Ovis aries: one gene and its partners. The protein of the gene in region 2 interacts with the protein of the main gene of each other region in a pairwise test. Links are inferred from orthologs where the notes say so. Each region holds a gene or a part of one and is shown on either strand. Other genes may lie near its edges.

Evidence for each region.
Region 1: the proteins of TOLLIP (region 2) and ODAM interact in a two-hybrid assay, tested with the Homo sapiens proteins (2 studies listed by BioGRID and IntAct). The two-hybrid records come from large-scale screens. The link is inferred for Ovis aries from reciprocal best matches to the Homo sapiens genes TOLLIP and ODAM.
Region 3: the proteins of TOLLIP (region 2) and TOM1L2 interact in binary tests that used the Homo sapiens proteins (3 or more experiments, as listed by UniProt). The link is inferred for Ovis aries from reciprocal best matches to the Homo sapiens genes TOLLIP and TOM1L2.
Region 4: the proteins of TOLLIP (region 2) and TOM1L1 interact in binary tests that used the Homo sapiens proteins (3 or more experiments, as listed by UniProt). The link is inferred for Ovis aries from reciprocal best matches to the Homo sapiens genes TOLLIP and TOM1L1.

Annotation. Positions count from the first base shown.
Region 1 is NC_056059.1:86,351,620-86,358,805, reverse strand, and holds the end of ODAM (odontogenic ameloblast-associated protein), read right to left. Parts: intron 6,991-7,186; coding exon 6,943-6,990; intron 6,038-6,942; coding exon 5,966-6,037; intron 4,808-5,965; coding exon 4,649-4,807; intron 4,414-4,648; coding exon 4,384-4,413; 3' UTR 4,355-4,383; intron 3,180-4,354; 3' UTR 2,895-3,179; downstream 1-2,894. UniProt on the Homo sapiens protein: Tooth-associated epithelia protein that probably plays a role in odontogenesis, the complex process that results in the initiation and generation of the tooth. May be incorporated in the enamel matrix at the end of mineralization process.
Region 2 is NC_056074.1:46,570,919-46,577,875, reverse strand, and holds part of TOLLIP (toll-interacting protein), read right to left. Parts: intron 6,213-6,957; coding exon 6,063-6,212; intron 4,361-6,062; coding exon 4,178-4,360; intron 3,559-4,177; coding exon 3,406-3,558; intron 2,865-3,405; coding exon 2,774-2,864; intron 969-2,773; coding exon 757-968; 3' UTR 1-756. UniProt on the Homo sapiens protein: Component of the signaling pathway of IL-1 and Toll-like receptors. Inhibits cell activation by microbial products. Recruits IRAK1 to the IL-1 receptor complex. Inhibits IRAK1 phosphorylation and kinase activity.
Region 3 is NC_056064.1:34,301,746-34,310,005, reverse strand, and holds the start of TOM1L2 (TOM1-like protein 2), read right to left. Parts: upstream 4,838-8,260; 5' UTR 4,758-4,837; coding exon 4,706-4,757; intron 1-4,705. UniProt on the Homo sapiens protein: Acts as a MYO6/Myosin VI adapter protein that targets myosin VI to endocytic structures. May also play a role in recruiting clathrin to endosomes. May regulate growth factor-induced mitogenic signaling.
Region 4 is NC_056064.1:4,927,614-4,935,122, forward strand, and holds part of TOM1L1 (TOM1-like protein 1), read left to right. Parts: intron 1-3,130; coding exon 3,131-3,182; intron 3,183-4,815; coding exon 4,816-4,921; intron 4,922-5,545; coding exon 5,546-5,627; exon of another isoform or gene 5,628-7,509. UniProt on the Homo sapiens protein: Probable adapter protein involved in signaling pathways. Interacts with the SH2 and SH3 domains of various signaling proteins when it is phosphorylated. May promote FYN activation, possibly by disrupting intramolecular SH3-dependent interactions.

The DNA of each region.
Region 1 (7,186 bases), on a different chromosome or scaffold from region 2:
GTAATGTGAATGAATCGCAAAAGCATTATATTGAGTTAAAGAAACTGCCACAAAAAAATACACAGTGTAATATTGTGTTATTTAATATGTATAAAGTCCCAGAACAGGCACAATTAATACACGGTGATAGATATTTTGTTTTTTAAAATAGTAGCTTTAAAAACATGAGAACAGGGAAACCAAATTGACCAGAAAAGAAAAGGAAGGTGGGGTGGTGGAAATGTTCTGCATCTTGATAGGGGTGATGGTTGCAAGGTACATACATTTATATGTGTATTTATGTGTATGTGTATATGTGAATCAAACTCATCAGACTATATATTTAAAAATATGACTAAACAATGATGATAGTTTGCTTGTGTATATAGTATTTAAAGTGAGAGCACACAAAAGTTCTATATGTCAGTCTTGAACTAATGCTGTTATAATACACTTAGATAGGAATCACCCAGTGAAGAAGGTTGGTAGTTAAAGTTTTGAGGCTAAAGTGTGAATTACCAAATGTAAGCAACTCTGATTTAGAATATTCTACGTAAAGTTTTCCTGGTCAAATCTGTTCAAAATTAAATTGCTCTTTCTGCTTTGCCTTTCTTTCACTGGCCTTGGATGGGGAGATTAGGAACACAGGGTTAAACAGACATATAAAATGTAGTTCTTTGCATGTATCCAAATAATATTTCCATTAACTGTAGACTCTTGTATTCTTAACCTGTTAACAAAAATGACAATTTAAAGCTCTTCTGTAATGCAATTTGATGTATATAGAATATTTAATTGGTAAGGTCCGTCTAGTCAAGGCTATGATTTTTCCAGTGGTCATGTATGGATGTGAGAGTTGGACTGTGAAGAAAGCTAATTGCTGAAGAATTTATGCTTTTGAACCTTGGTGTTGGAGAAGACTCTTTAGAGTCCCTTGAACTGCAAGGAGATCCAACTGGTCCATTCTGAAGGAGATCAGCCCTGGGATTTCTTTGGAAGGAATGATGCTAAAGCTGAAACTCCAGTACTTTGGCCACTTCATGTGAAAAGTTGACTCATTGGAAATGACTGTGATACTGGGAGGGATTGGGGGCAGGAGGAGAAGGGGACGACAGAGGATGAGATGGCTGGATGGCATCATTGACTCGATGGATGTGGGTCTGAAGGAACTCCGGGAGTTGGTGATGGACAGGGAGGCCTGGTGTGCTGCGATTCATAGGGTTGCAAAGAGTTGGATATGACTGAGCGACTGGACTGAACTGACCTGAACTGACTATAGTATTCTTGTTTTCAAACATAGTTGTTGCTCAGCAATACTTTGCCAAGACATCCACCTGAAACAAATTGGATCTCCAGTCAGAGATTTGGAAATTTATTTTTTAAGCTGAGTCACTAAATTGGATTTTGATATCCAAACTAATAAGACCCTTTTAATATTGTGTAGAATAAGAAATAAATTTGGCATGTTTAGTTGAATATTTTTTATAAAAAATTATCCTTGAAGGAAATTGCAATGTTTATCATTATATTATTTTATTTATGTAGAACTTATTTAATGCTTTTGTATGTTAATATTGTATTTGTATAACTTGTGTAATTTTCAAAGCATTTATTATTGTAATACCTAATATTGGCTTCCCTTGGTGGCTTAGATGGTAAAGAATATGCTTGCAATGCATGTGACCCAGGTTTGATCCTTGGGTTGGGAAGATCCCTTGGAGGAAGGCATGGCAACCTACTTCAGTATTCTTGCCAGATAATTCTGTGGACAGAGGAGCCTGGCAGGCTACAGTCCATAGGGTCTCAAAGAGTCGGACAGGATTGAGTGACTAAATTTCACTTTTACTTTTCTAATATTGCCAGGTGCTTCTCAGGTGGCTCAGTGATAAAGAATGTACCAGCAGTGCAGGAGACTCAGGAGATGTGGGTTTGATCCCTGGGTTGGGAAGATCTGCGAGAGGAAATGGCAACTCACTTCAGTATTCTTGCCTGGAAAATTCCATGGACAGAGGAGACTGGTAGGTTACAGTCCATGAGACTGCAAAGAGTTGGACAAGACCTAGCGACTAAACAACACCATATACGTGGTTTCACATCAAAAGATTCAACCAACCTTGGATCATATAGTATGGTTTTAGGTATTTATTGAAAAATCTGCATATAACGGTACCCCCTCCATTTAAGGGGCTTCACTGGTGGCTCAGACAGTAAAGAATTTGTCTGCAATGCAGGAGACCCATGTTTGATCCCTGAGTCAGGAAGATTCCCTAGAGAAAGGCATAGCAACCCACTCCAGTATTCTTGCCTTGGAAATCACTTGGACAGAGGCGCCTGGTGGGCTCCAGTCCATGCGATTGCAGAGTTGAACACGACTGAGCGACTTTCACTTCATTTCAGTTTAAACTCGTGTTGTTCAAGGGACAGCCATAGCCAGGTATCTTACATGTGTTATTTCATGTGGTCCTTTTGGAAATTTTGAAAAGGTAGATATTGTTACCTCTGTTTTACACCTGAGAAAATTGAGACTCAGGTTAAGTGCCTTACTGAAGGTTCAAAGTCAGATTGAAAGCCACATCTGAAGAAATCCAAAATCTATGCCTTATTTTGTATAATATGTTGCTTCACCAAACCAGTATACATCTTCCTGGGGACCTATCCTTTTGGTGATGGCAGCCATCTCTCCATGTATCTGTGTCATATTGGGAATGTGCACTTAATGGGATCTGCCACCAAATAATTTTGATTCTAATAGGGATTGCATCAGAAGGAATCTAGTTGAATGGACCTGGGAGGAATAATGTGATGATATGTCAAAGCTAGGAACATACTTTTGTTCATCAGTGTCAGTCACCACACTTGTAAATCCAATGACTGGATATATTTATTCTCATCAATGCCACCATTTTCCAGAGCCTTCCTTTATTAATACACTTATACAATTAATCCAGTGATACTCTATTCTTAGTGTTGTTACTTTCCAGATCATGAAATGATAAGATATTTAGAAAGAAATGTAATTTTGTAAATCTAAGCTTATTAAATGATTGTATTACTTTTCTATGATATTTAAAGAGTATAATGCTATTTATAAGTAAAAAGAAATTCAGGAGAAGAGCCAAAAGTATTTCATAGTTTTCAAAGAATCAATATTAATATTGAGGAAATAAAATGATACTCAGGGTGCTGCAACATCTTTTTTTCTGAAAAATAAAATAAAAGAGCATTTTAAAATCATTAGACTGCTTTCTATAAAATTCCTGAGATGTTTTCTAAATTGCTTAAAAAGAAATAAAACTACATTTTCTTGCATTGGTTCAGAAGGTCACACTATACTGAAATCCCTTTAGTATTTCTGATTAAAAAGCTTGAATTATCTTGCATTGCACACAAAGCCACATTATAGAAGAGAATTTTCTAAAGAGGTGCTCACACTATTCACTTCTGGTTGTATTTTTATTAACTTTTTTGAATCTAAGAAATGCTAAGTATTCATTTTCATAGGAGAAATCAGAAAAGACTCAGAGGAAGCAGGGGACAGATTTTAAAAATCTTTGCCTTTTACTTTTCCAATTCAGGCCAAATTATTTGCTTTTTAGTGTGTATTTTTTACATGTTAGACCCATCCCACCCTGCCCTTCTATCAAACACCCACTAGCCTCATAGCCAGTGAAACTCATTAGGACAGGTAATCAATTAAAGTAATAGTTAATATAAAAATCATGGAATTTTAAATTTCCATGTGAATATGCACTTAAAAAAAATTACTTTGAGACTTTTTTTCATTCCAAACTAACACAGATGTATTAGCATTACTTTTAGCTTGCAAAGTGAAGTAGTGATTTGGGGGAACTGACTTTGCATATGAGCTTCACTGGTGGCTCAGATGGTAAGGAATCTGTTTGCAGTGTAGGAGACCCAGGTATGATCCCTGGGTTGGGAAGATCCCCTGCAGGAGGGCAAGGCAAGCTGCTCCAGTATTCTTGCCTGGAGAAGCCCCATGGACAGGGGAGCCTGGTGGCCTACAGGCCATGGGGTTGCAAAGTGCTGAACATGGCTGAGCAGCTAAACATAGCATAGCACTTTGCATTTACTGTCTGTCTGTAACATGGACCTAGTATATTTGCTATTTGTGTTCTCAGAGTTTATGAAAAGTTTATGGCATAGACAGACACTATCCTCAAAAATTTATTTTGACTAAAAAATTTGCTAATAAAATTGCTCATAATTATTGTTAGCTTTGTAGGAATATGTAAGCACTAACTTGTTTTTTTTTTTTTTTCATTTTGGTATATGCCTTTAGTTATTCTTACAATTTTTTTCTTTTAATTTAGGATATGTCATGGAACATAAGGCACGCCTCTTGGCAAATACCTACCCTAAACTCTAAATGATTAGGACAACATCTTATGGTTCCTTCAGGCTATCAGTCTTGGCCTAGTGAGAAAAACATACATAAAAAGCTTTTATTAAATAAAAATTACATTAGATTCTGATTATCTGTAAGAAATTATTGGTCTTTTTATTCAAGGTTAAGACCATATATTCTACTATATATTAACTTTGTCATGATTTTCATAACTAAGTCCTATAAATCAAGCATGAACTTTATTTTTATACTTTCTATTTAGAGACCCATTTCTTTCATAAAAAGAATCTTTGATTACTTTACCTTCTTTTCCATTAGCTCTGTGGTAATAATTGGGTCCACAGCAGAAGTAAAAAAAAATGTTGTGCTGGGTTTTTGTGAAGTTGAAGGAGTGAAAATTCTTGCATTGGTGCGCTGAAAATTTATCATTTCTTTTTGTAAGTATGGTGACACTTCTGCTGGCTATGAGGGTGAGAAAGAAAAGTGATTACAAGTTCAAACACAAGGTCAAAATTGGGAAGAATATAAAGTAGTAAAGCAAGGATTTTATTTGAGAAGTAAATGCCTTATTAGTTTTCTAGACTAAAATCTATCCTTTAGAAAGAGTATGTATATATGCCAGCAAACACAGATGTCTTTTAATACCTGACTTTAAATGAGTGTACCTGGGCTCCAAAATCACTGCAGATGGTGATTGCAGCCATTAAATTAAAAGACACATACTCCTTGGAAGGAAAGTTATGACCAACCTAGATAGCATATTCAAAAGCAGAGACATTACTTTGCCAACAAACGTCCATCTAGTCAAGGCTATGGTTTTTCCAGTAGTCGTGTATGGATGTGAGAGTTGGACTGTGAAGAAAGCTGAGTGCCAAAGAATTGATGCTTTTGAACTGTGGTGTTGGAGAAGACTCTTGAGAGTCCCTTGGACTGCAAGGAGATCCAACCAGTCCATTCTAAAGGAGATCAGTCCGGGGTGTTCTTTGGAAGGAATGATGCTAAAACTGAAACTCCAGTACTTTGGCCACCTCATGTGAAGAGTTGACTCATTGGAAAAGATTCTGATGCTGGGAGGGATTGCGGTCAGGAGGAGAAGGGGATGGCAGAGGATGAGATGGCTGGATGGCATCACCGACTTGGTGGACGTGAGTTTGAGTGAACTCCAGGATTTGGTGATGGACAGGGAGGCCTCAGTTCAGTTCAGTCGCTCAGGCGTGTCCCACTCTTTGCAACACCATGATTTGCAGCATGCCAGGCCTCCCTCTCCATCACCAACTTGCGGAGTTCACTCAAACCCACGTCCATCGAGCCAGTAATGCCATCCAGCCATCTCATCCTCTGTCATCCCCTTCTCCTCTTGCCCCCAAAGAGTCGGACACAACCGAGCGACTGAACTGAACTGAACTGATGGAGAATATCTGGCATGTATTAGCTCCTCAGTAAATAGTTGATGAACTGAGTGAATTGAATCTTGTGTGGCAAAAGATTACAGGGTGAACGAGTAATAATTGTTGATGGAATAATAATAACAGTTTCATTAAAATGCACAATAGTGCAAGGAGCTATAGTCTGTCAGTTGCTGATTTCCAGTAACTATCAAAGTGTGGTAAGGAAACTTACCATTGCAGCCATTTCAGGAGCTGTGCCTAGGAAGGGATCAAAGGCTGGTTGCTGCTGTCCTCCTGGCATAACCTTAAAAGTTGCAAAGTTTAAAATGGTATAAATTAATAATCCATAAAACATTTATCTTGCACCTAAGGCGGTTATACCCTTGTCACCTTCTTCAATTAGTTTGTTAAAAACAAAAATCATAATTTGGTTTTGAGAAAGAGAAAAGCAACTCCTGACACTGAGAAACTGGCCTAACGCAATAGCTCTGCTGCAGTGTTTGCAGGAGCTGGCCTGACATTCTCTGCTGGATGCTAATGTTCTCCTGTTGTACCTTAACAATCCTACAGAATACCAGGCAAGGTCACCTCTGAACACGATGAAGTGCAATCAAAGAAACAGTACTTGGTAATCTTGCCCACAGCAAGGTCCCTGTGCAAGGCATGAAAATATCAGGCATCCTTAGGTCCTGGATAATCTGAAGAATTTCTTTTTTTTAAAATATAAATTTATTTAATTTAATTGGAGGTTAATTCCTTTACAATATTGTATTGGTTTTGCCATATATCACCGATCATGGTCTTTGCTTCCCTCCATCATTCTTACTTAAAAAGAAAGAATTGTTGTTACCCAGTCATAGAACTACCCCCAGTTCTTGAGATTCTTTACCATCTGAGCTACCAGGGAAGCCCAGTTCTTGAGAACTCCAAATCAAAAGTAACGTGACTATTTGAACTCTCCCCCAGATCATTGACACAAGACCAGACCCTGTGAGATGTCATTCCAATCCTTCCTGTTAACACACTCCACAGTTCCCTATGGTGTGTGACCTCCCTTGTTGCAGTAAGTGGATAAATCCAATTTTGTCCAACTAGAGGTGTGTTCCTGGTGGGTTTTTGACTAAAGATCACTGGTAGATTTAATAGTTTGTTTAGCAAGTAGTTTCAAAGCTAGTTTTTCTTTTTTTAATGAAAAATACATTTACTTACAGGTTCTACTTCTTGTGGAATATATCCAAATTCAGTATAGAATGGCATCTGTTAGAATTTTTAAAAAATGTGTTAGATCACTCTTATGATTTTTGTCATAATGCAGTGATAAATGATTAAAATATATGTATATTATACTGTACTAATACTTTTTTGAAAATTTATATGTTCTAGGTAGTAAAAATAATTGTTAAATTACCAACCATCCTTTTAACAGCATATGATTTCTAGGTTAAAACTCTCC
Region 2 (6,957 bases):
TCTTGCCTCTCGGGAAGACCTCCCAGTGCCGGCGGTCACCACGCTGACCCAGCCTGCGGCCCAGCTTCCTACACAAGGTCGGCGGTGAGCTGAGAGTTCAGAGGCCTCTGACAGACGGGGACGAGGGCTGGGTCTGCTCCCGACACCCACCTCAGCGAGCTCTACAGTCAGCGCGCGTCTGGGGGCGGCGACCCCTCGGGACAACACGGCATGGAGGGCGAGGCAGCAGGAAAGACTACGGGGCCGCGGGCTCAGGACGTGGCTGCAGACGCCAGGCTGGGCCCCGAGGCAAGGTCCACCCGACCCCAGCGAGGCGCCCAGGGAGACCGCCACGGGGAGGAGCGGAGCTTCTTGTCCTGAAGCCCTAACACGACCCACAGCAGCTGTTAGTGTGTCTACCCAGGCAGGCGGCATCATGAGAGACCACCTGTCAACCCAGAAGGGGCCCAGCACCGAGGCCCTGCGGGGGAGCTGCTCCCAGGAGAGGCTCCCGGGAGGACGGCCAGCAGGAAGTGGGCGTGTGCACGGGACGCGCCGCCTCCACCCTTCAGGAAGCGAGAGGAGAGCCACCCCCCCCCGCCCCGACCACGTGGAGAACGGCTCCAAGAACCAAAACCACATGCATCCCAACGAGGGCGAGGACGGCAACACGGACGTCCAAGGAAGGGGCTACGCGGGGCATGTTCACGGGGATCTGCTGGGGACAGTGCTCGGGAGAGCTGGGCGGGCGGGCAGGCGGCGAGACGGCGGGCATGTCTAGGACTCCTCGCCCATCTGGAGCAGGGAGTTGATGGCTGCGTCCCTGCTGCCCCGCTGGGCCTCCAGCACGGAGCGGATCACCTCCCGGTCCATGTTGGGGAACATGTCCTGGATGGCCTTCAGGTCCTCCTCACGGCAGCGGGGCTGGGCGCTCACGGCTGGGGGCAGCGCCACAGGCACCACGCCGGGGCTGCACACGGCGGGCATCCCTGCAAGCAGAGGCAAGCTCAGTGGGCAGCCCCTCTGCTGCGGAGCCCAGGTCTCACCTGAGGTCTCCCCCACAACACGACCCCAGAGATCTCCCCCCACCTCCAACATGACCCCAGAGGTCTCCCCTCACCCCAACATGACCCCAGAGATCTCCCCCTCACCCCATGACCCCAGAGGTCTCCCCCCACCCCCGACATGACCCCAGAGGTCTCCCCCTCACCCCAACACTGCCCCAGAGATCTCCCCCTACCCCCGACATGACCCCAGAGGTCTCCCCCCACCCCCGACATGACCCAGAGGTCTCCCCCTCACCCCAACATCACCCCAGAGATCTCGGCCCCGGACACTGCCTCTCAGATAGGCCAGACGCTCAGGAAAAATGGGGGTGAGCAGACCTCAGCCATTTACACCACGGGGGTCAAGCCCTCGCACCACGGCCACCCCCAGCTGCCACCCCCCCAACCCCGAGCACCGAGACTCCCCCGCCGGCCCCTCTGCCGGCCCTCCAGGACAGGCCTTCCCAGCTGGGCACCCAGTCCCAGTCAGACCCCGTCGAGGAAGGAGACCCCACCGGGCCCAGCGTCCTGAGGACGGCAGACCCCCCCCTGCTCCACACGGGCAGCACGTGGGGCTCCGGTGTCAGCTCGCCACACCAGCCGCACCCCTTCACTCCCATGTGGACGCTGAGAAGCTCAAGGCATCTCAGCTGCTGGAAGACTCAGACCTGGAGCCACCAGAACCCAAGTCAAAGCTCCGACTGTCTTGTGAGGAAAACAGACCAGCAAAAGGAAAGACAGAGCTGCTGAGGTCCCGCGGCTTCAGAGACAGCCCTGGCCAGACAGCGCTCTGAAGGGCGGAAGCGGCTGCAAAACTACCTGTCTTTAGAAACTCAAAAGCACAGTCCCCCAACCAGGCCCAACAGCTCACATGGTCTCCTTTCCTGTCTGAGCTCAGAAGACCTTAAAGGCAGCTCAAAACCTTCCAAACCAAAACCAGCAGAAGAGCCGACAAGCGCTGAGGTACAGGGGTGCCGGCCGCAGGGGTGGGACCAAGCCTGCGATGGACACGGCTGCCTGCGGGGCCGGACGCGCACCCGAGGCAGCCGCAGGGCCCAGCCCCTCCCTCCCGCTGCCCCCCGGCCCCTCCCTCCCGCTCCAGCCCTCACTCTTCCCCGCACTCTGCTCAAGAGCTCAGAGGTTTCTCAGGGACACGGCCACCACCGTGCGCACAGCACCCTCGCATCCTCTCCCGTCTCCCAGGCTCTGAGCCTCCCACGCTTGCGTCCCACCCCGTCCTACAGACGTTCACAGGCAGGGGGACTGAGTCACTTCCAGTCAGAGCCTGGGTGGGAACTGACCACAGGCTGACGTGAAGGCACAGAAATCCACGAGAAAAGCCACACCCTACTCGACTCCGCTGCGCGTGAACCGCCGGCTCACAAAGGTGAACACTGCGAGAGGTCGAGAGCCGCGCACGGGGAATGGACGCGACAGACGCAGGCAGGCTCGGGCGTGCAGTCCGTCCATCCACCCGAAAGGACATGACCTTGTGCTACAGCGACTCAGAAACCATGCTTCCCCATCTCCATACACTTAACTCAACTTTTCTGCACTGACAGAAAAAAAAACAATCCTACCCCCTAAGCGTGCAGGAGAAGCCAACACAGGACAGCGGACCCCCGGTTTGGGCAGGCTCTCCAGGCACCGCCTGCAGACCAGGCCCAGCCTCTAGCTTGACACCCCACGCACCTCCCTCCTGCTCTGAGGCCACCCCAGGAGACGCGCCGCGAGGAGGGGAGACGCACCTGTGATGGGCACATAGCCCACACCCTGCTGGTACACGGTGGGCATCAGGACCACGGGTTGAGGCGGCATCATCATGGCAGCCGGCAGCGACTGAAACACACCAAAGATGACCCCAGGGTCACAGCAGAACACCCCCCCCGCCGCCTCACCAAAAGCTGGGGTGGGGGGCAGCACCAGGCCTGGGGCCCCACAGTCGAGGCTAGGACGCGCCCTGTCCCCAACCTCAGACGCCCGTTCACACCGCCTCCCCACAGGCCCCTCTGCGGGCAGAGGACGACGCGGGTGGAAGGCGCCTGTCGTCAGAGCCGCAGGACACGACTGAGAGCCCATCGGGAGAGGACGCTGCTCCAGGCTGCGAGCCGGAGCGCACGCTTCAGGCTCGAACCCCTGCCGTCCCAGACAGCCTCTCTCTGGCTGCAGTTAGTTAGACACAGCAGCAGCGTCCCATCCACATGGAAGCGTCTGCTGAACAGGTAGGATGCACCCAGCAGAAACGTGCTGATGTGGGAACCCGCAGTGACTGATCCAGTGCCAGGAAGGGGTGAGCAGGTACCAGCGCGGCGGCCCCGAGGCTGGGGGTCCGCCGGCCCGCCCCCGCGCGGGGAGCACCGGGCAGGCGCGGCGGCCTCACCGTGTACGACAGCACCAGGTTGATCATCCCCTCCTTGTCGTCGCCCTGCCGCCCGCTCAGGCTGTACCACTCGTCCACGACCTTGCCCTGCTTCAGCGCCTCGGGGATCGTCACGTGCGTCCAGGCGATGCGGTCATCCATGGAGAAGGCCCGCTGGGGGAGACGGGAGACGGCATGTGAGCCCAGAGCCCCCAGGGCCCTCCCCCCGCAGGGTGTGCACAGCATGGAGCCCCCGCCTCGCTCCCCTCCTGCGGGCCCACACGGAGGGAGGGGCTCCAATGAGCCACCAGCGCCGCCTGCACCAACCCGCGGGGCCGGGCCCCCGGACACGCGCTCCCCTGAACCACGCCTTCCCCTCCCGCTCCACCCCAACCCCTGAGGACCGCAGCCTCTCCCAGCCCTGCCGCCCACCCCACTCTGAGCCAGCCTCAGAAGGGCTGGGGCACGTGGAGGGCCAGGCTGAGAAGGGCCTGGGGCTCCCGACACCCCGGGGACACTCAGGAGGCTCCTGCCATTCCCCCACAAAGAGGCCAGTGCCCACCCTGCCAGGGCCTGACCGTGTCAGCCCTGAGCCACGTGCGGACAGCAGTGCCTGGCCTGACTGGTCGGGCGACGCCCACGCTCCGGACATGGCGGTGACGTGTCTGAGTGTAGGTTCCAGAGACTCTGGGGGCACAGAGCGCCTGTCACACCACAGCACCCCCCCTGCACACACGCCCGACGTTCTGGAGCAGCCGGGAGCCTGAGCCGCAGCGGCCCGCGTGGTGCCCACCTCGTCGAAGATCTCCAGGTAGAAGGTGTCCACGCCCGGGGGCACGGTGCACTGGATGACCTTGTTCCAGCGCGGGTTCTTGGCGCCGTTGTGGGCCGTGGGCGTCTCGTACACGGCGTAGCCCAGGCGCAGGCGGCAATAGGGGTCCATGCGGGTCATGCCGTAGTTCTTCGCCAGCTTGGCCTGAAACAAAGCCGCCGCGTGAGACGGGGCCGCAGCCGTGAGCCTGGGAGCCTCCCCGCCACCCACGGCTTCCAGGGCGCTCTGGGTGCTGACCCACTGGACACGGCCACCACTGTGCTGTCGGCCCTCCACAACCACAGGTCCAAAGTGAAAGAGAAAGGCGCTGGACCAGGAAAGAACATTCCAGAAACTTCCAAAAGCAAAACCTGAATCTGCCACACCAGCAACTGGGTTTACAGCCTTGTACCGTATAACAACCGAGCTCACGCGGCGTGTTCGGCATGCTAGGTGTCATGAGTAACCCAGGGATGGCTCTGAGCACATGGGATCTGTGCAGGCCACGTGCAGACCTGCACTGTTTCAGGTAGCGGCCTTGAGCGTCCTCAGACTGTGCTGTCTGTGGGGTCCCAGAGCCCGTTCCGAGGACAACTGTGCTTCGGGGCCCAGGAACCAGGAGGTGGTCTGGGCTGGGCCCAGCGTCTCAGGACACACCCACTGCTGGGCGGGGCTGGGTCCCCCCGACTCCTGGGGAGGAGGGTGGAGAGGGCAGGCCGTCCTGGGACAGAGTCTGAGCCCCGGAGAAGCAGGGGTCAGGGGCCCCCTGAGAAGCGAGGCCTGGCCAAGGCCTTCTCTGCATCCTCAGACAGTGACCGTGCCGGCCCCCTGACCGGGCAGGACTCTCTCAGCAGTGACTGACCCTGCCCAGTGCCCGGGGGGCCAGGAATCCGCTCCGAGGGGCCTGATCCCCTGGAGCCCACGCCTCACGGTGACCAGGGCTAGCGCCCTGGTTCCTGCTGAGCAACGGACAGACTCCAGGAAGCACCTGGGGCCTGAGGGCAGGCCCGTGACAGCCAGAGGGAAGGGAACTTTCCGTGGTGCTGGAGAAACGCTCTTATCACAGGGGTGGACACACGTGTCGAGAGGTCACAGAAACAAAAGCACGTTAATTCAAACCAGTGCGTCCTGACACGTATGTCACACTCAACAGGCCGATTCTTTTTAAAAGCCCCTAGAGCCTGCTGCCTGTGAGACGCCATCTCTTCCCGACAAAGGCTCTGTGGAAGCCCCGCCCATTGGGAGCCTCCTTGCACCCCTCTCGGGCTGACACCCCCTGAGCTCTGGCACGCCTGCCCGCGATCATGCCCCAGAGCCGCCCCTCCACGTAGGACCAGCTGGCCCACCTCCAGACACACACCTCCTGTCACCGCAGGACCTCCCCCTGAAGTCATCTCTGAGCCTCAGGCACATCCTCTCAAGCACCCTCGACTGAACGCGTCCGACACTGAAGTGTGGCTCTCCTCCCCACCTGCTCCTGCAGTCTCCCCTTTCTGGCCACTGCCCACCGCCCCTGGTGCCGGCGACAGGCCGCGGGGTCACACACCCTCCTCCCGCCCCAACTTGAGGGCTCTCGAACTGGGCTGGATGCCCCCAGGAGGCCAAATTCGGGGCCTTCCAGCCTTGCCCACGATCTTCCTGACACAGAGCCCGAGGGAGCCCTGGACCCAGCTCGGGATGAGCTGTCCGCTTCCCACTTACTTGCCCCACGCTGCTCGCTGCCCCTCATCCCCCGCCCTTGCCCCCAGCCCATGGGTGGGGACTCCAGTTCAACCCACGCTCTCCACAGTAGCCTCCGGCCGCCCACTGCTGCCCCCGACCCTCGGCGCCCGCGCTCGGCCCCACGGGCTCTGAGAGCCACACCCACCTGCACCACGGTGACGCTGAGGCGGCCCACGGTGCCCAGCGCCCCTCCGTACTGCAGCTGCTGCGCGGCCTGTGCGTCCAACTGGATCTGCTGCTGCTGCTGCGTGGGCGTGATGCGCAGGAAGTCCTGGGGCAGCTCCCCGATGTACACCTGCGGGACCACGGCATCAGCGCGGGGCCGCCCGCCCTGGCCCGGCCCCCTGCTGCACCACGCGGGTCTGGGGCTCCAGCCTGCAGGCCCCCTAGGGCCTGTGCTCCCGGGGGCAGGGCGCCCAGCACATGGGGCTCCGTGGAGGCCCGAGCACGTCCCTGCCTGAAAGCACATCTCGCATCCTCGCCGGGGCTGCAAGCTGCTCTCAGGCCTCAGATGCGCTTGTCGCGTGTTGGCGGTCCCAGCCACAGACCAGGACCATGGTGAGCACGGCCTCTCCACCACAAGCTGTTCACTGGGTGAAGCCTGAGGCCCAGATGCCCAGAGACTCGGAGCAGCCTCTGTGCAGACGCCTCGGGAGAACAGCTCGCCTGCAGAAGCGCCCTGAAGACCAAGAAGCCTGCAGAGTGACCAGCAAAGGCCACGGGACCCGGCCCTGGAGAGGGAAGGCGGCGGAAGGGCGCCTGGGCACACACCCGCGCGCGGAGGATGTGCGGTCTGACGGCGACAACTCCAAGGAGACCACAGGAGACCAAGTTCGGGCCAGCTGGGCTCCGCCAGGGCGGTGAGCACAGAGAGATGCCCCCCAGGGCAGGCGGCCCACCCCCCGGGTGCTCAGGAACCTGGACCCCCCCGCCTCTGCTCTCTGCCGGGTGGGGGGGGGTGCAGGGCCAGGGGGGCACAGTGCAGCCAGGGCCCAGGACCCACGACAGAGGCCTGGCTGCAGGGGGGAACCAGGGCCACA
Region 3 (8,260 bases), on a different chromosome or scaffold from region 2:
ATGAAGTACATGGCACTCTGCTTACTCCATTCACTCTGTGAGATGAGAATCGCAAAGGGTTTGTAAGAAAGCACATTATGGTGACTTTCTCCCCCCTTCCCATAACTGTATGTTTTCAAGCTTTCTGCAGAGGTCAGCACTGTGTCTTTAAAAAAGCACATTTCCATGGAACTGCTCATAGCCCCATCACAGCCTCTAAGCAGGGCAGCGACCTGGCCAAATCCTGGGAGCCTCTCAGCTCGGGTCTGAGTGTCCAAGCATGGAAAGCAGGGGGGCGTGAGCAGGCTGGTTACCCTTACAACCATCCCAGCAGTTAAGGATGGGTGCTCTCAGAACCCCAGACTTCCACCCGTGCTCTGCCCACCCACCTCAGCAGGTACCCTCTTATCTCTCTGGGGGCTCCCTGGAAGGGCCCTACCCCAGACCTCGGGGAACTAGCACTGCGTGCGCTGACTCCCTCGTCAGACCCCTGCTCTGCACAGTGGAGGCTTTCACATTAAGACAGAGGTGGCCTTTCGGCAGCTGCCAAGGGAACCCTCCCTGCCTCTGTAATGACAGCCCGGCCACTACCCTCCACAGAAATCATCCATGGCTCCTCAGTGCCGCCAACAGAAGGGTCTAAACCACGCGGCCGACACTGGAAGCCTCGTCAATCAGGCCGGACACTGTCTGCCTGGCCTCTCCCTGCTCTCCCAGCTGGTCTTACCCCCACCCCTCCACAACCAGCCTTTGCTCAGAGCGCCCTCCAAGCCTCCTTCTCCTCTCCAATAGGAGCCAAATCCCACCCCCTGAGTGCCAGTTCCTCCAGCCCCTGGGATGCCCCTTCTCACCACCGCCATCCCCCAGGACAGCAGCTGCAGAGTCAGGTCGCGTCTGCAAAGCAGAGAGAGTAGCACACTCCCTGCAGTGTTGTAAGAACGAAAGCAGCACGAGACCCAGAGCGCACCCACTGTGGCCTCTGGCACACGGTAAGCCGGCCCCATCTCTAAAACAGCAAAACCGCTAACCATTACTACTACTGCTGTGGAGGATCCCTCCTGTCCTCCATTTCCTTCGTTTCTCTCTCCAATCTGCTGCCAACACTTGCCGTCTTATCTGATTTAGGTCCCTGTCTCAGCTCCTTTACTAGACCAAACATCCTAGCAAGTGTTTAGCGTGGTGCATACTGAGAGGTGACAGAACCACCAAATGCATGAATGATTCTAAATAATCAACCCTATAGTCTGTCCACAAGAAAACTCACATTTACTGTTTGAAGCAAGATTAAGAAGCAATTACAGGAGCAGAACTTTTCGTCAAAAGCAACAGTTCTCAAAGTGTGGTCTCCGGACCCAGAGTGTCAGCATCCTCAGACCTTGACAGCCCACCCCAACGGACCCTGCCACCAGCTTCGACCAGCTCTCCAGGGATTCTGATGACCCTGACTCGTGGGGTCCGCAGGGCAAGAAGCAACATGGCAGCCCAGAACGAAGCCCAGATCAGGACAGGATTCTCCGCCGGACTCTGGCCTTGACCTGGCAGGAGTCTCTTAACCTCCAGGAGCTCCAGTTTCTTAGAAGCGATACAGGGATGATCATCACACTCAGGATTCAGGGAGATCCCATGTGCAGTTCACACCAAGTAGGTGCTTAAAAACTGTAAGTTCCTTCCCGTTCTCATCCTATCTCACAGGGTTGGGAAGACTAAATAAAACCCTGAAGCCGCCCCCTCGCACTGGTAACTAACTCCTCTCAGAACAAACACTTTGGCTCGTCAAGCTCACAGCCATCTCAGGAGACGGGGAGGCTCCCGCAGCAGTCAAGACCCCACACCACCCAGGCCCCGGACACTGATCCTGCAGCGAGTGGGAGGGAGCTGGTCCTCCAACACTCGGGTCAGGATTAACTAACTCCTCACTGATCTCATCTAAATGAATCCAAACTTTACTCCTGGAAAAGGATGATCTGAAAACATTTTTCAGTCAACACAGGAGAGCTGTGAACCTGCTGAGCACCCTGGACCTGGCTTGTGGTTCCCGGACACAACAACTGTTAACACAGGACCCCCTAAAACCCATTTCAGAAGAGAGCATCAGGCAGCACTCAGTCTTTCTGGGTACTCCTCAGCCATTTACACCATGGCGCATCCGGGCTCAAAGCCATGGCCTCTACTCGGGAACCACCTCCCAGGACAACGGGCAGCACGGAGACCAGGAAGCCCCGGAAACCACGTCAGATGTCAGCTGGGGCATGGCTGCCAGCTCTCCGTGTGTCTGACCCAACAGTGCCCAGGAAGCATGCGGCAGGCCAGCCCCAAGGCAGCGCAAACGGCCAATCCACCCACCCCCAGACAGTGAGCCCAAGGCTCTGCGGCTCAGGACACCTGGGGGGGTGCCTTACTGCTACAGAGGGCCCCTCGGAGCAGTGTTTTGACATCTCTATCCTGGGGCCTGGCACCCAGCACCCTGTCAACATGCCTGCTGAATTAGACGGATGGGGTGAGTTAGTTACAAGCCCCACAGCTGTTGAGGGAGGAAAACGAGGTCCAGAGAGACCGAGAGTTGAGCTCAATAATTAATGTGGCCTTGATGTCACCCACCCAGGACAGGGCTCCATCCTGGGCCCAAACCCAACTTGCCCCTGTCCCCCGTAGCCACCCCTGCTCCGCTTGGACAGGGGACCACAGAGGGGGGCCACACTGCCACTCGCCTCCTCCACCCGTCCCCGGCACAGGGGTCTCTTCTCTGCGAGTGCGGTTCCTTCCCCTTCCTCACCATCGGCCCAGGCCCCGCACTCCACAGTGTGCCAGCCTCCTGACAGCTCTCCCGTCCCCACGGGGCGACTCGGCACTGGCTATGGGGGCCTTCCATTGGTCACCACTGTCCCCCAAGTCTCTGTTCCTGGTGGTGACCCCATCAACCCTTTGAGCGCTGGGACAGCTCTGTAGGCTGTCCTTTCACCCCACTAAGCCTCAGTTTCCTCATCTTAAGGTGAGAAGGATAATAAAACTCACCATGCAGAACAGCCTCAGGAGAAAGTCACGGTGGTCAAATTGCTTCGTGTGGGGTAAACCTGCTGCTCCTACTAGCCAGCTTTGTTGCTGGGGCTTCACTCCTGCGTCTCCCTCCCTTCTACCAACCCCTGGCACATATACCTCTCAAGAACATGAACAGCACTAAACGTCATGAGGGTCACTTTTACACTTTGTCCCAACAGCACAGAACACATGTCAGAACCTATTCTGACCTCTAATCGCTTATCTGAACTGAGCTGCGAAATTCTCAAGGCCTCACCTGCAGGCTCACTGGCTGGCAATGAAGGGGCCCCATTCTCTTCATGGTCAAGCGTCCTAAGGGACGGTGGACTTGGGGCCTGGTCACAGATGGGCCTGTGGTCCCCCATCTCCTCTCCAAAGTGGAACTGAGCCAATCTCCCCACCCCAACCAGAGCACAAACTAAAAAGCTCAGGAGGGCTGCACCATTTTTCAGGGCCCCACAGCTGAAATGGGAAAAGCGACATTCACCCCAGGTCCTCCTGAGAGAAGTGTCATGCTCTTTTCATTGCTACCCACCCATACATCCCTTCTGTTTGTATATTTTAAAATAAATCTCCTTTTAACTTATACCCCTCATCAGCTACCTTGGTGTTTCAAAGGTAGTAACAGAGCCTCCTATTATAAAGGAGACAGAAAAGGGAAAAAAAATCCCCCCAAGTTTACTGGCTCCCTCCCACAACTGCCTGGAATTCAATACCAGAAATGAGTTTCTGGAATACGGATGCCGTGAAAGAGCACCTGAGGAAGAAGAAAGGGAGGTGGGAAACTCCAGAAAGGCAGGAAAAGACCCTCCAGGGCCTAGTGTCCATCACCCCTTATCAGAGACCCTATACCAGGGAGCAAAGGCAGGCTCCCAGGTGCCAGTCAGCCAACGGGAGAGGCGTCAATAATTTCACAGGCCCACTAAAGGCTGAAAAGTAAGCTGGAAATTTACAAAGCAGGAAATAGGCAAATCACTCCAGCCTAATCCCGCCAGGCCCATAAGGACGCCAAAGGTCCCTGCTCATAGAAGGCGTTTTACCAGTCCTTCCACCAACAAGGAGGAACCCAGTTTTAAAAGAAACCAATCCACATTCTTGACGGATCACGCCTGGCGTGAGCTCCCGCCTTGGGTGAAAAGGCACGTTGCTCATCAGTCAGGAAATTCCACGGGGCGGGTCTCTGGTGGTCCTTCACCTCCACCTCGGGCTTCCTCACCGGGATGCTGGTCATCCCGGTGCCCGGAGCCCCCAGAGGGTTTGCACTGCCGAGTAACGCCCTCTCCACCTGTCCCCAGAAGGCCGGCGTTGGCAGACTTGAGGACGCTGGGAAGTGACAGCCACCAGGCAGACAGTGGCTCCAGGGACATGAGGACCGCCTCTGACAGACGGAACTTCAGACCTGACAGGGCAGCGACTCGCACAAGGTCACGGGGAGAGTCGGCAGCAAGGCTCCCCGGTCCGGGCTCCGGTCGTCAGCCGGCACGGCCGTCCTCCCCACCCCCCCGCCAGCCTTCCCAGGGCGCGCCGGCCTCCCCGCTCCCCGCCGCGGAGAGTGGCTCAGCCCGCCGGGCCCGGGGCAGGGAGCCCGCTGGGACCGCGGCGGCCGGGTTGGGGCACGGGGCTGGGCCCCGCCGCGCAGCAACGCGCGGAGCACCGCCCAGCCCTCGGGACGCCGCGGTGGGGGCCTTACCGAGGCACTGCCCCACCGGCGTGCTGAACGGGTTCCCCAGGAGGAACTCCATCTTGGGCGGACGGCTCGGCAGCAGCCCGCGCGCGTCAGCCGCCGAGTCTCCGCGTCCCCTGACGTGCTCCCGGCCTGACTGACACTTGCCCCCACCCCACCCTCTGGAACGCCGGTGCCCGCCGCTGGCCCCGCCCCACCTGTCCCTATTGGGTGAGAACTGCCTTGCCCTCTTCCCATTGGTAACCACACCACCCTACGCGAGGTCCCGCCCACCCCGCGGCGTCCGATTGGGCGGGGTGGCTAGCTAAGTCATAGGAATTTCCGTCACCTCCCCTGGCCCGCCTCCCGACGAGAGACTGTGTATTTTGATTCGTTTATGTACTGGTCAATCGAGTGAATCCTTACTGTTACTGGACAAAAATCAAATCATTCACTCAAAAAGAGGGCAGGGGAGGGCGGGGCTAGTAAGTTCCCCGCCCAGGGAGAGTGCTGATTGGACAAGCATTTGTTTTCTCTAAGGCTGGTTGGTGCTGGGTGACATTCCCCGCCCAGAAATATGATCACGTGGCCGTCAACTTTCACCCAGGATGTCTACTCCCTGACTTCCCCCTAGCAACGGAGTGCGGCGCTTGGTTCTCCTAGCAACCCAGCTCAGCTACCAGGAACAGGTGGCAGACTGTGCCAGAGAAGCTGAGAGCCCAGAGCCGAGAGGCTGCTGAAGGACTTGACCTTTTCACGAAGGAGCCTGCTGGCCGCCCCACGCCGGTCAGGGCCTTCAGGCCTCGTGGGGAGAGAAGCTCGGGAAGGGTTTCCTATGGGCGCAGGCCCCAACGAGACCTTTAAGGTCCCACCCCCGGCCTCCGGGCCAGAGAGAGGTACCCGGCCCACTGATCCCTCTTCAGGAGGACATCACTGACCATCTGCCCGACCTCTCAACTGCTGCTACCTTGTTCCTCTTCCTTAGAGCTACCCTTAGTGAAGGGTTTTGGCCTGGAACGTGGATGCCCTGTCAGCAGGTCCCTTCCCGGGCTTCAGTTTCCCCGTCTGGACAGTCAGGGCAATAGGGCTCCCTTGTCTGCTGGCTCCCAGACCAGACCTGTAATTTGATCATGAACGTTACTCCAGAGCATGGTGAGCATTCAGAAGAGGGTGGTTTTCTCTTATCAATTCACGGCCAATAGGGGCTCCATTTTTCAGGTCCAGGTGATGCCAAGTCCTTGTTTCGCTGGATGATTCAGGATCTGGTTCTCTGTGAGGAGGTGTAAGGCTCTTGGCTGTTCTCCCCGCCCGCAACAACACTACTGTCAGGCAAGTCAACAGCAGCCCCAGCTGGGTGGGGAAGTACTGATAAACCCCCCGGGGGAGGACTGTCCTGGTTTTGGGCCAAACCTGGAACAGTTAGGAGAAACAGTGTGAACTGTGACAATGACCCACAGCATGCGGGTGCAGTTGAGTCTGATTAAGAGCCTGAGCTCTGCATGCCTGACCTGCCTCTGCATGCACGGGATGTGTCTCTCAGCATAGGTGTCACTTGACTTGCTTAACCAGCTTCCATTTTCTTACCTGAAAACTGCAGAGTCAGTCCCTCACATAAACTACGTTTCTAGAGGTCTCTCAAACCCACTTCTTACCTGCACCCCAATCACCTCTCGACTCTTGACATTCTCAGTGCAACAAGCCAGAATGAGCTTCTTCAAATTAAACTCTGATCACGTCACGTCCTCATCATGCCTTGGAGCTTCCTAGGGATCCTGGGATGATCACAACACCCCTGGAGGCCTTGCCACTCTGGGCATCCCGGTGGAACCTGCCTCCTCCTCTCCCAGCTCAGGACCCTCACCCCAAAGACCCCTCCTCCTTCTCTCCAGGTCTCAGCCCAGGTCCCCACAAGTATGTTGTCATAGTTCCCTACACCCACAGACTTGTCACCATTTATAATTAAAGGTTTGTATGATCATCCGAGTTGGGTCTGAAACAGGGGTAAGGAGGTCTATGAATCACAATACTCCTAAACCCACTAACCAAGTCTTATCCACGCATGTAGTAGCTATTCATTGCACATTTGTGGGCTAAATAAAATGATCTTAAACAAATATTGGAGGAAGGAGTTATCTGTCTTTTACAGATAGGCGGTCGAAGACTTGGAAAGCAAAGTCAGTTGCCCAAGGGTGCGAATCCAACTCTGGTGTGTGTAACAAACACAGATGTTCCACACTGCCTGATGACTGTTGGGCCTGTCTGGAAGCAGGCTCGACCCGGCTCAGGGACCAGGCCCTTGTGTGACAGGAGTGATGAGAAGTCAGCCAAAGTTTTGAAATCAGAGTATGAATCATTTCTCAAAGCACAGCACTTGTCTGTAAAGGAAAAAAAGGGTTGGGGGAAAAGCACCAACACTTTCAAGTAGCATCTGCCAAATATGGCACATTAAAATTTCCCCAGAGAGAAGCTGGTGTCGAGTTATGGGAAATTTTAGAAAAATTGTCTCCAAAGAATGGGGAGATAGAGAGAGGTAGAGGACTAGAAATGTCTTTCAGGGGTTGAGTCAATCAGCTGAAGGACATGAGAGAATGTGGAGGGACCCAGGAAGAGGGGAGACTCAGAGAAGTGGGTGCAGGAAGAAGGAAGCTGTGCCTGCTCTGGGGCCACTGGGATGCACAACTGCACCAGCTGCATGGCTGGGTAGGGTAGAGGCACCCAGGCAGGGGGTCTCTGAGACCAGGTGCAGGATTGCCAGGCCCACCCCACTTTGCCCAACAACAGGAGTCTCCCCAGCAGCGCTCGCTGGAATAAAAAGGCAATTGCGGGGCTGCATCATCGGACCAGTGGGGCAGGGAGGCCGGGTGTGGGCACGCAAGGGCCAAGGTAGGAGGTGAAGCCAGCAGGCAGGTGAGAACAGAGTGGAGAGTAGGGGGAAGACTGACCGTCCAGAGCATTCCGAGGCAGAATCAGGGCGTTTCCAGTAGCATGTGCCCTCCCATGGGGTCCAGCCCTTCTGGGTGTGCTAGGACGGCTGGTAATGATGGACTGTGGTCAAACTGCCCAGGACCGTGGCTCTGTCCAACCAAGAACAGCAGTGTAGGTTCGTCTGTGACCCACTCCGCTGTGCCTCAGCCAAATCCCTTTGGACCAGTAGCAACAGATACCTCCTGGGTTAGTTTAGGGAAACGAGGATTTAACTTGTGAAGTCAGTGCCCTGTCTAGGGGCCTGGGGTCAGAGGTCCAGGGGCCTGAGGTTGGAGCAGGAGGGGCCAGGAAGCCAGCAAGGGGAAGGCAGCCTCTGTCTGTCCTTTTGTCTTTTTTCCTGGATCAAGTTCCCATCTTGCTTCTGTCTGTCCATCTTCCACAGGTCCTGTTACTCTCTCACTCACCATGTCCCTGACCAGCCCTTAGCTCCCAGTGCCTTCCAAGCCAAGTAGCCAGCACTGACGGGTGCTTTGTCCTGAGGCCGCAGTTCACATCTCTCTGGGGAGGGTCACAAACAGCCAGCTTGAGTCCGTGTGTACCAGTGGCTACACCCTGGGCACCTGTGGTTGGGGGTGCTTACAGATATGGCCACCTTCA
Region 4 (7,509 bases), on a different chromosome or scaffold from region 2:
TGTTTCCTTTGCTGTTTTTTTTGGTTGTGTTTTGTTTTATCTGTTTCCTCTTTCCTTCATACTTGGGGCTCTTTGGATGTTTTTAATATCCATTTCATTATTATATTTTTATACAGTTTATGTATGGGCAGGGGAGGACTGGTTGCTCTAGGAACTGCAGTTTTTTTAGTGTATTTAAAAACAGTATTTTCCCACTTGAAGTGAGATATAGAAACTTTATTATCATATAGCTCTTCCCTTTATATGATAGTTATCTATATTATATATATATGTTAAAAAAACATTACCAGACAATGAAAAATTATTTTACAATTTTTTCATAATACAGTTTTACTTGCAGGCCTTAAATAAATTTTAAAGACTCAGGAAGAGCAGAATAGTCCATCACATTTACCTAATATTTACCGTTCCTGTTGCTTTCCTTTCGTTTTCCTCTGGCACAGTTTCTCTTGTCTCTGAAGAATTTCCTTTAGCATTATTTTAGAGACGATCTGATGGCAGTGAAAGTTTCTTAGTATATTTTATGTACTTCATTTTCATTTTTGTTCCTGAAGGATACTCTAATTGGATATAAGATTCTGGGCTGATGGTTCTTTTCTTCTAGCAGTTTTTAAACATTGCTCCAGTGTCTTCTGGCCTAAATGGCTTCTAATGAGAAATTAACATTCATTCCAATTCTTGTTCCTGTGTTGACTCCGTGTTACTTCTTTCTGTCTGTGCTTTGAAGAACTTTTCTTTTTTCTAATTTTAAACAGTCTGATTATGATATGTCTAAGTGTGGCTGTCTTTGTTTTGCTGAGTGTATTTGTTTCCTGTGGTTGTCATAAAAACATTACCGCAAGCTGGGTAATGGAACTCACCTTCTTAGAGTTCTGGGGACTAGAGGTCTGAAAGGAAGCAAGGCGCCTCCTCCCAGGACTCTGAGGGGAGGAGTCATTCTTCCGTCCTCCACATTCTGGGGAGCGTAGACACCCCTTTACTTCCGTGTCTTGTGGCCACACACTTTGCTGTCTTTCTCCATCTTCACTTTGCCTTCTCCCCTGTGTTTCTCAAGTCCTTCCCCAGATCCCCATTTTCCTGTTTTAGGGTCATATATTCTTGGATTTAGTGCCCATTCAATCATCATCTCAGTTCAGTTCCGTTCAGTTCAGTCGCTCAGTTGTGTCCGACTCTTTGTGACCCCATGAATCACAGCACGCCAGGCCTCCCTGTCCATCACCAACTCCGAGTTCACTCAAACTCACGTCCATCGAGTTGGTGATGCCATCCAGCCATCTCATCCTCGGTTGTCCCCTTCTCCTCCTGCCCCCAATCCCTCCCAGCATCAGTCTCTTCCAATGAGTCAGCTCTTCACATGAGGTGGCCAAAGTACTGGAGTTTCAGCTTTAGCATCATTCTTTCCAAAGAATACCCAGGGCTGATCTCCTTCAGGATGGACTGGTTGGATCTCCTTGCAGTCCAAGGGACTCTCAAGAGTCTTCTCCAACACCACAGTTCAAAAGCATCAATTCTTCGGCGCTCAGCTTTCTTCACAGTCCAACTCTCACATCCATACGTGACCACTGGAAAAACCATAGTCTTGACTAGACGGACCTTAGTCGGCAAAGTAACATCTCTGCTTTTCAATATGCTGTCTAGGTTTGTCATAACTTTTCTTCCAAGGAGTAAGCGTCTTTTAATTTCATGGCTGCAGTCACCATCTTAGTCTTATCTAAATCCTGTGTTGAATGTTGGTACTTTGATTTTAGCAGGCAGACAGCCTAGTGAAGTTTATGCTGCAGTTTCAGCCTGCCTTCTGTGTGCTTTCGTTCTGATGTCAGTTAAATTTTCAAAGCCGTTGAGTGTTACTGAGATGCATCCCAAACGTGTGCCACCCATCTGTCACTGTAAGATCTGGACAGCAGGCTGTGTGTTCATTTCTCAACATCTTTAACCCACTCCAGTATTCTTGCCTGGAAGGCCCCATGGATGGGGGAGCCTGGTAGGCTACAGTCCATGGGGTCGCAGAGTGGGACACGACTGAGTGACTTCACTTTCACTTTCACTTTCACTTGGCATTGATTGGGATCAGCCATGGATGCATAGATCAGGGTGTAAGCCCAGGAGTTCATAAACACCTTGGAGGTCATTGTCCTGAATTCCTCTGTCTTTGTGATTTCCCTGATTCTTTGCCTTCCTGGGATTCCCTTTTTGGTCTCTCCAGTCAAAAAGCTGCAGGTTTACTGTGTCATGCATTTCCTTGACTATGCTTGTCATGGGGACCAGACGGCAGGATAGAAAGGATAAAACAAACAAGGTTTTGCCTCATCCTCTTGGGATGATCACGGTTCCCCTCTTAGAGTGGGAGTTGCCTCTCAGAGGTTTAAGCCACTCTCGGTCCCCGTTGCCTCTGCTGTCACTGAGGCCACCTGGGGATTGCCTGGGGATTAGAGTGCGAGAACGAAGAGGAAGAAAGGGCCAAGGCTTGCCCTGCACACTCTGGGCACTAGGGTTTCCCTTTCCTGCTCCTTGAGTGAGAATGAGCGTCCTCCTGGAGCTGTGTGTCCTCCCTGTCCAGTTGGGCTTTAGGCTGTACTGCATGCCAGTTCGGAAATACCCAGAGGGGCAGAACATGGTAAGTTCACCAACAATTCATTGATATTCCAATTCTAGTCTTCTTTCCCAATTAGCTTGTAATTAATATTTACCTTGCAGGTCTCAGATATTTGCCCCATGCCTTCTGTCCAGATTTTATAGTTGCATTTGGTGAAAGAGACAGGGCAAATGTGTTTACTCCAACTACAAACTGTGCCCCATCCTAACCTCTACTCTGCCTTGCCTTTCATCCTGTAGAAGTGATGGGGTGGCAGCTGCTCTGAGCGGAGACGGAAGGCGCCGCTGTGACCGACAGAGTGCGCTCCGGGGTCTCGGGCTGCCGCCGCCCAGCCCCAGGGCTTTGTCTGCATTCTCTTTGGCGTTTGGGCATTATGGCCCGGTGGGCACCACCACCACTGGCAGTTGTGCTATAGAAGTAATACTTCCGTGAAGTCTGCAGGTGCATCTGGGGTATTGCTTTTAGACCAGGAAGGTCGTCTTTTTGCACTGTGTTCTCACTGTAGGGTAATCATGCTGTATTATCACACTATCCTAGGTTTGCCCAAAGGACCAGCCAAAACCTCGCCTCAAGTCATACATACGAGAGTGTAAGTAATGAAGGCCTTCCCGGGCAGTGCCCCCAGGGAGCAGATTATCATGCTAAAATGGAGCTCCCAATCCTTAATTCTCAAGTTCTGCTCAAAATTTCTTCATAAGGTGTTAATGAAGCCCTTGTTAGGGCTTTTCCTTGTTGCCTTTTTAATCATTTAAGATAAGTATAGTCTCACTTCCATCAGAAAGATAGTAAAGGAACAGAATTCCCTTGGAACTGTTTCTAGTTGCTATCTTTGCTCTCTTTCCTCCCATCCTCTGACAGACTTCAGTCAGACAAGTTCTCATCTCAGCCGCCTCGCGGGCTGAGCTCTTGTCAAGGTCACTGGAGACCTCCCGATGACTGACTAGTCCTGCCGTGCTCAGCGCTCATCCTACCTGATCAGCAGCAGCTGAGGCCAGCCACCTCCTCCCGTCTGCCCACGTGCTTTGAGACACCACTCCCTTCAGGCTCTCCTGCTGCTCTCTTCTGCATCCCTTTGCTGACCTCTTCTCTACCGGCCTCTCAGTGTTGGAGACCCTGGGAGGCAGGCCTCAGATTTCTCTGCCCACATTATTTCCTCTCTGGTCTTTTGGTCTCGTATCAAGAAGTACCACTCAGACTCTGAGCACTTACAAGTTGTTTCCAGTCCATACCCCTTCCCCACGTGCAGAACTCCCATTTCCACCTGTCACTTCACATCTCCCCTTGCTTTCTTTCAGCCTCAGCTCCCGATGTGCTCCTTCGGCCGGCTTCCCCATTCTGTAAATGACCACTGTTTCTGTTGTTCAGGTCAAAAACCTTGGGAAACTGTGCTTGACCTTTACCATTTTACCTTTGCCTTCAAAATATATGTTATCCCGCCACCTTTTCCCACCTCCCTTTTACATCCCAGCGCAAGCTACATCAGATGGGTACTGCAGTGGCCTCCCGCAGGGCTGCTGTTCCAGCCTCCACCTCCCTCTCCACCCCCACCCCATCATACAATCTGTTCTCCAAACAGAAACCAGAACAAATCTTTTTTTAAAATAAAGTTTATGTTACTCATTTACTCTGAAGCCACCTGTGGTTTTCTGACTCCACTTATCAAAGCCTGAGAAGCCGCTCTGACCTCTCCCGTTGCCTCTCCAGCTGTATGTCCAGCCCCTCCCTTGGCTTGCGCTGCTTCAGCTGCACTGGCTCTGCCTGCTTCAGAGCATATGACCCGTGTTCCCTCAGATAATCACAGGGCCCACAGGGCCCTGCTCCATGTCCCCAGTGGTGAGGCATTCTCTTGACCAGGTCTGACGGATACGCTTTTTTGTACTTAATGGTTTTGCCTCTTTGAGGCCAAGGTTTTATATTCAGTGTGGGACAGGAGACTCTGGACTGAGCCATACATTTCTGGCTTTTTTTTTTTTTAAGCAATATATTTTATTTAAGTTTACATTTTATATGGGAATTAAGGTACAGGGAGCATGAAACCAGACAGAACAGCAGTAGGTTTTATAAGGGGATATTACCTTAAAAACTAAAATAATAGTTAACGATTAGTAATTCTTATCTGATTGAGAATATATGATTCTTGGGATAGTGCCACTTGGAAGGCTAGGAATCAAAATCATGAAAGCTTAGAATGTTTATTTGAATGTGTGCTCTGCTCTCTTCAGTTTCTGGAACATTCAAATGCAGTATTACTGCAGCCAGTTAGCCTACAGACCGTTCCAGCAACACCATCAAACCAGAGACTGCCACCTCTGCCTAGCAATCATCCAGGTACTTAAGACCTTATTATCTGCACCAAATAAAGAAACTTATGAGAATAGATGGGTCTGCTAGAGATTTATTGGTGACTAAAAACAGATACGCAGAGAGAAGAAATTAGAGTGCATTTGCATTTTCAGCTACATGAGGTAAATTTAAGGCAGATTTCATTATGACTGACTGTTGCTATTGTCACTAAGTCATGCCCGACTCTGCAGCCCTGTGGACTGCAGCCCCTTGGGTTCCTCTGTCCGGGGGATTTCCCAGGCAAGAACATTGGAGTGGGTTGCCGTGCCCTTCTCCAGGGGATCTTTCCGATCCAGGCACATCTCCTGCATTGGCAAGGGGGTTCTTGACTGCTGAGCCACACGGGAAGCCCCGTGACTGACATGAGGAGACTGTGGAGGTGCTTGTGTTGCACTGAGTCCTGTATTCTGAGTGCTGAGGTGAATAACCTTTAGTCTGAGTCTGGGCGCCTGTAGACTTGTACTGGGCAGTAGCGCTGGGACACCAGTGTGCTTGTTTCTGGTTGTCAAGTGTTCATTAGGATCTTCTGTTTGAAGTCAAAGTCAGAGAGAGTATTAACTGTGTGTATCTCCTCAAAAACCACAATGTGTTTCTTCTTGTTGCCTACAGCGATGACAAAGAACGATCTCCAGCCACCCAATTACTGTGAAGTAATGGAGTTTGATCCCTTAGCTCCTGCTGTCACCACAGAGTAAGTCATTTACAAAATGATTATTTTTTTGTCTTGGTTCCCTTTGGTAGCAGAGCTCACAGGGTTTGGTTATACATTTAACTTTGTTCAGGCCTTAGCAGAAATCAATGACCTTATATAAAAGTGATTTATGAGATTTTGTGGTGGTTGTTGCTCTTAATGTTGGTCTTGTCATGCTTGACCTTGTGACTTAAAAACACTGGGGTTGCACACTAAGAAATAAGCAGAACCATCATGTGCATTAGTGTATTCCTTATAGATGCCTTGGAAGAAAGTCAGATTCTCTCCAGCTCGAGACAGGCACTATTCACTGATTGATGACTCTTAAGTACCACGTTGATGGGGTATTTTAGTTGTTCTTTGACTAATGCCAGAAAAAAACTTACATAAGAACTTGTTTTTAATCTTCACTACCTATGACAACTGTGTGCTTATTAATGTAAAAATTACTTTTTAACTTGGAATCCTTAAAGCAGTATTATTTTGTGATTTCATATTGGTCAAGTGCATATAAATATTTATGGGATGGTAGCCTCATTAGTGGAGTAGGAAATAGCAACGCAGTCCAGTATTCTTGCCTGGAGAATTCCATGGACAGAGGTGCCTGGCGAGCTAGTCCGTGGAGTCACAGAGTCAGATACAACTGAGCATGCACACACAGGCTCATTAGTTTTAATATATTTTGACTAACTGAAAGTTACCTCCAAACTTGTTTAAAATGATTAAAGCATTTTCATAGAAATGACTGTTTAGAAACTAGCAGCCTACAGGCTGTATCTTGCCTGCAACTGTGCTTTGTTTGACCTATGTGAATTTTAAATATGCACATAAAAATTAATTGCCAAGTTAAAAGATGGGATATTTCACTAACTTTCTGAACCTCTGGATGCTTTCTGATACGACAACAATGCCAAGCCTGCATTTTTACATGCTAGCAATAGTTTGGGGCTGCGCTGTCTCAGTTCACCAGGCCCCCACATACCTTCAGCTGATCTGCCTGACATGTGTAGGCATTTGTGTTTTTGACCCTGACCCCCTGGTTCACACCCTCAGTGTAGTGATGTTTTGGAATGATTTGTAAGTGAGTAAAGCAGGCCTGCAGAACCTGTCTCATCTTAAACAGGCAGCCACTATGCAGTCCCAGGCTTATTACGATAAGCTTAGGAGTTCATTAAATATTTTGTCCTAACAGGATTGTGAAACTTTCATTCCGCTTGATAAAGTATCACTGAATATGTTAGTGCTTTAAGGAATTAGAAACTGGTTAAACTAGGTATGTTGTCTCAAGAACGCATGTTTTTTTAATCAGTTTCTCCAAGCAAATAGGAAGCAGATTATAATCTAGTTAATTATGAGATAGTTGTAAGTAGATGTGGTGGTATAGGAGATATTAAAGGTAAGAAATAGCAAGAAGCTGGAGAGGTGAAGTTCTGGAACTCCCTACCACTTTGAAAGCTCATGACACTTTCAGATTGTGGTGCTGGAGAAGACTTTTGAGAGTCCTTTGGACTGCAAGATCAAACCAGTCAATTCTAAAGGAAACCAACCCTGAATATTCATTGAAAGGACTGTTGCTGAAGCTGAAGCTCCAAAACTTTAGCCACCTGATACAAAGAGCCGACTCACTGGAAAAGACCCTGATGCTGGGAAAGATTGAGGACTGGAGGAGAAGAAGGCAGGAGAAGATGAGATGGTTACATAGCATCACCAACTCAATGGATATGAACTTGAGCAAACTGGAAGATACAGAGGACAGGGAAGCCTGGCATGCTGCAGTCCATGGGGTGACAAAGGGTCAGACATGACTTAAGGGCTGAAGAACTACCACCGGCACTATAGTTCTTACTTTCCGGGTGGTAGCGTGTCTCAATCTCTTTAAACG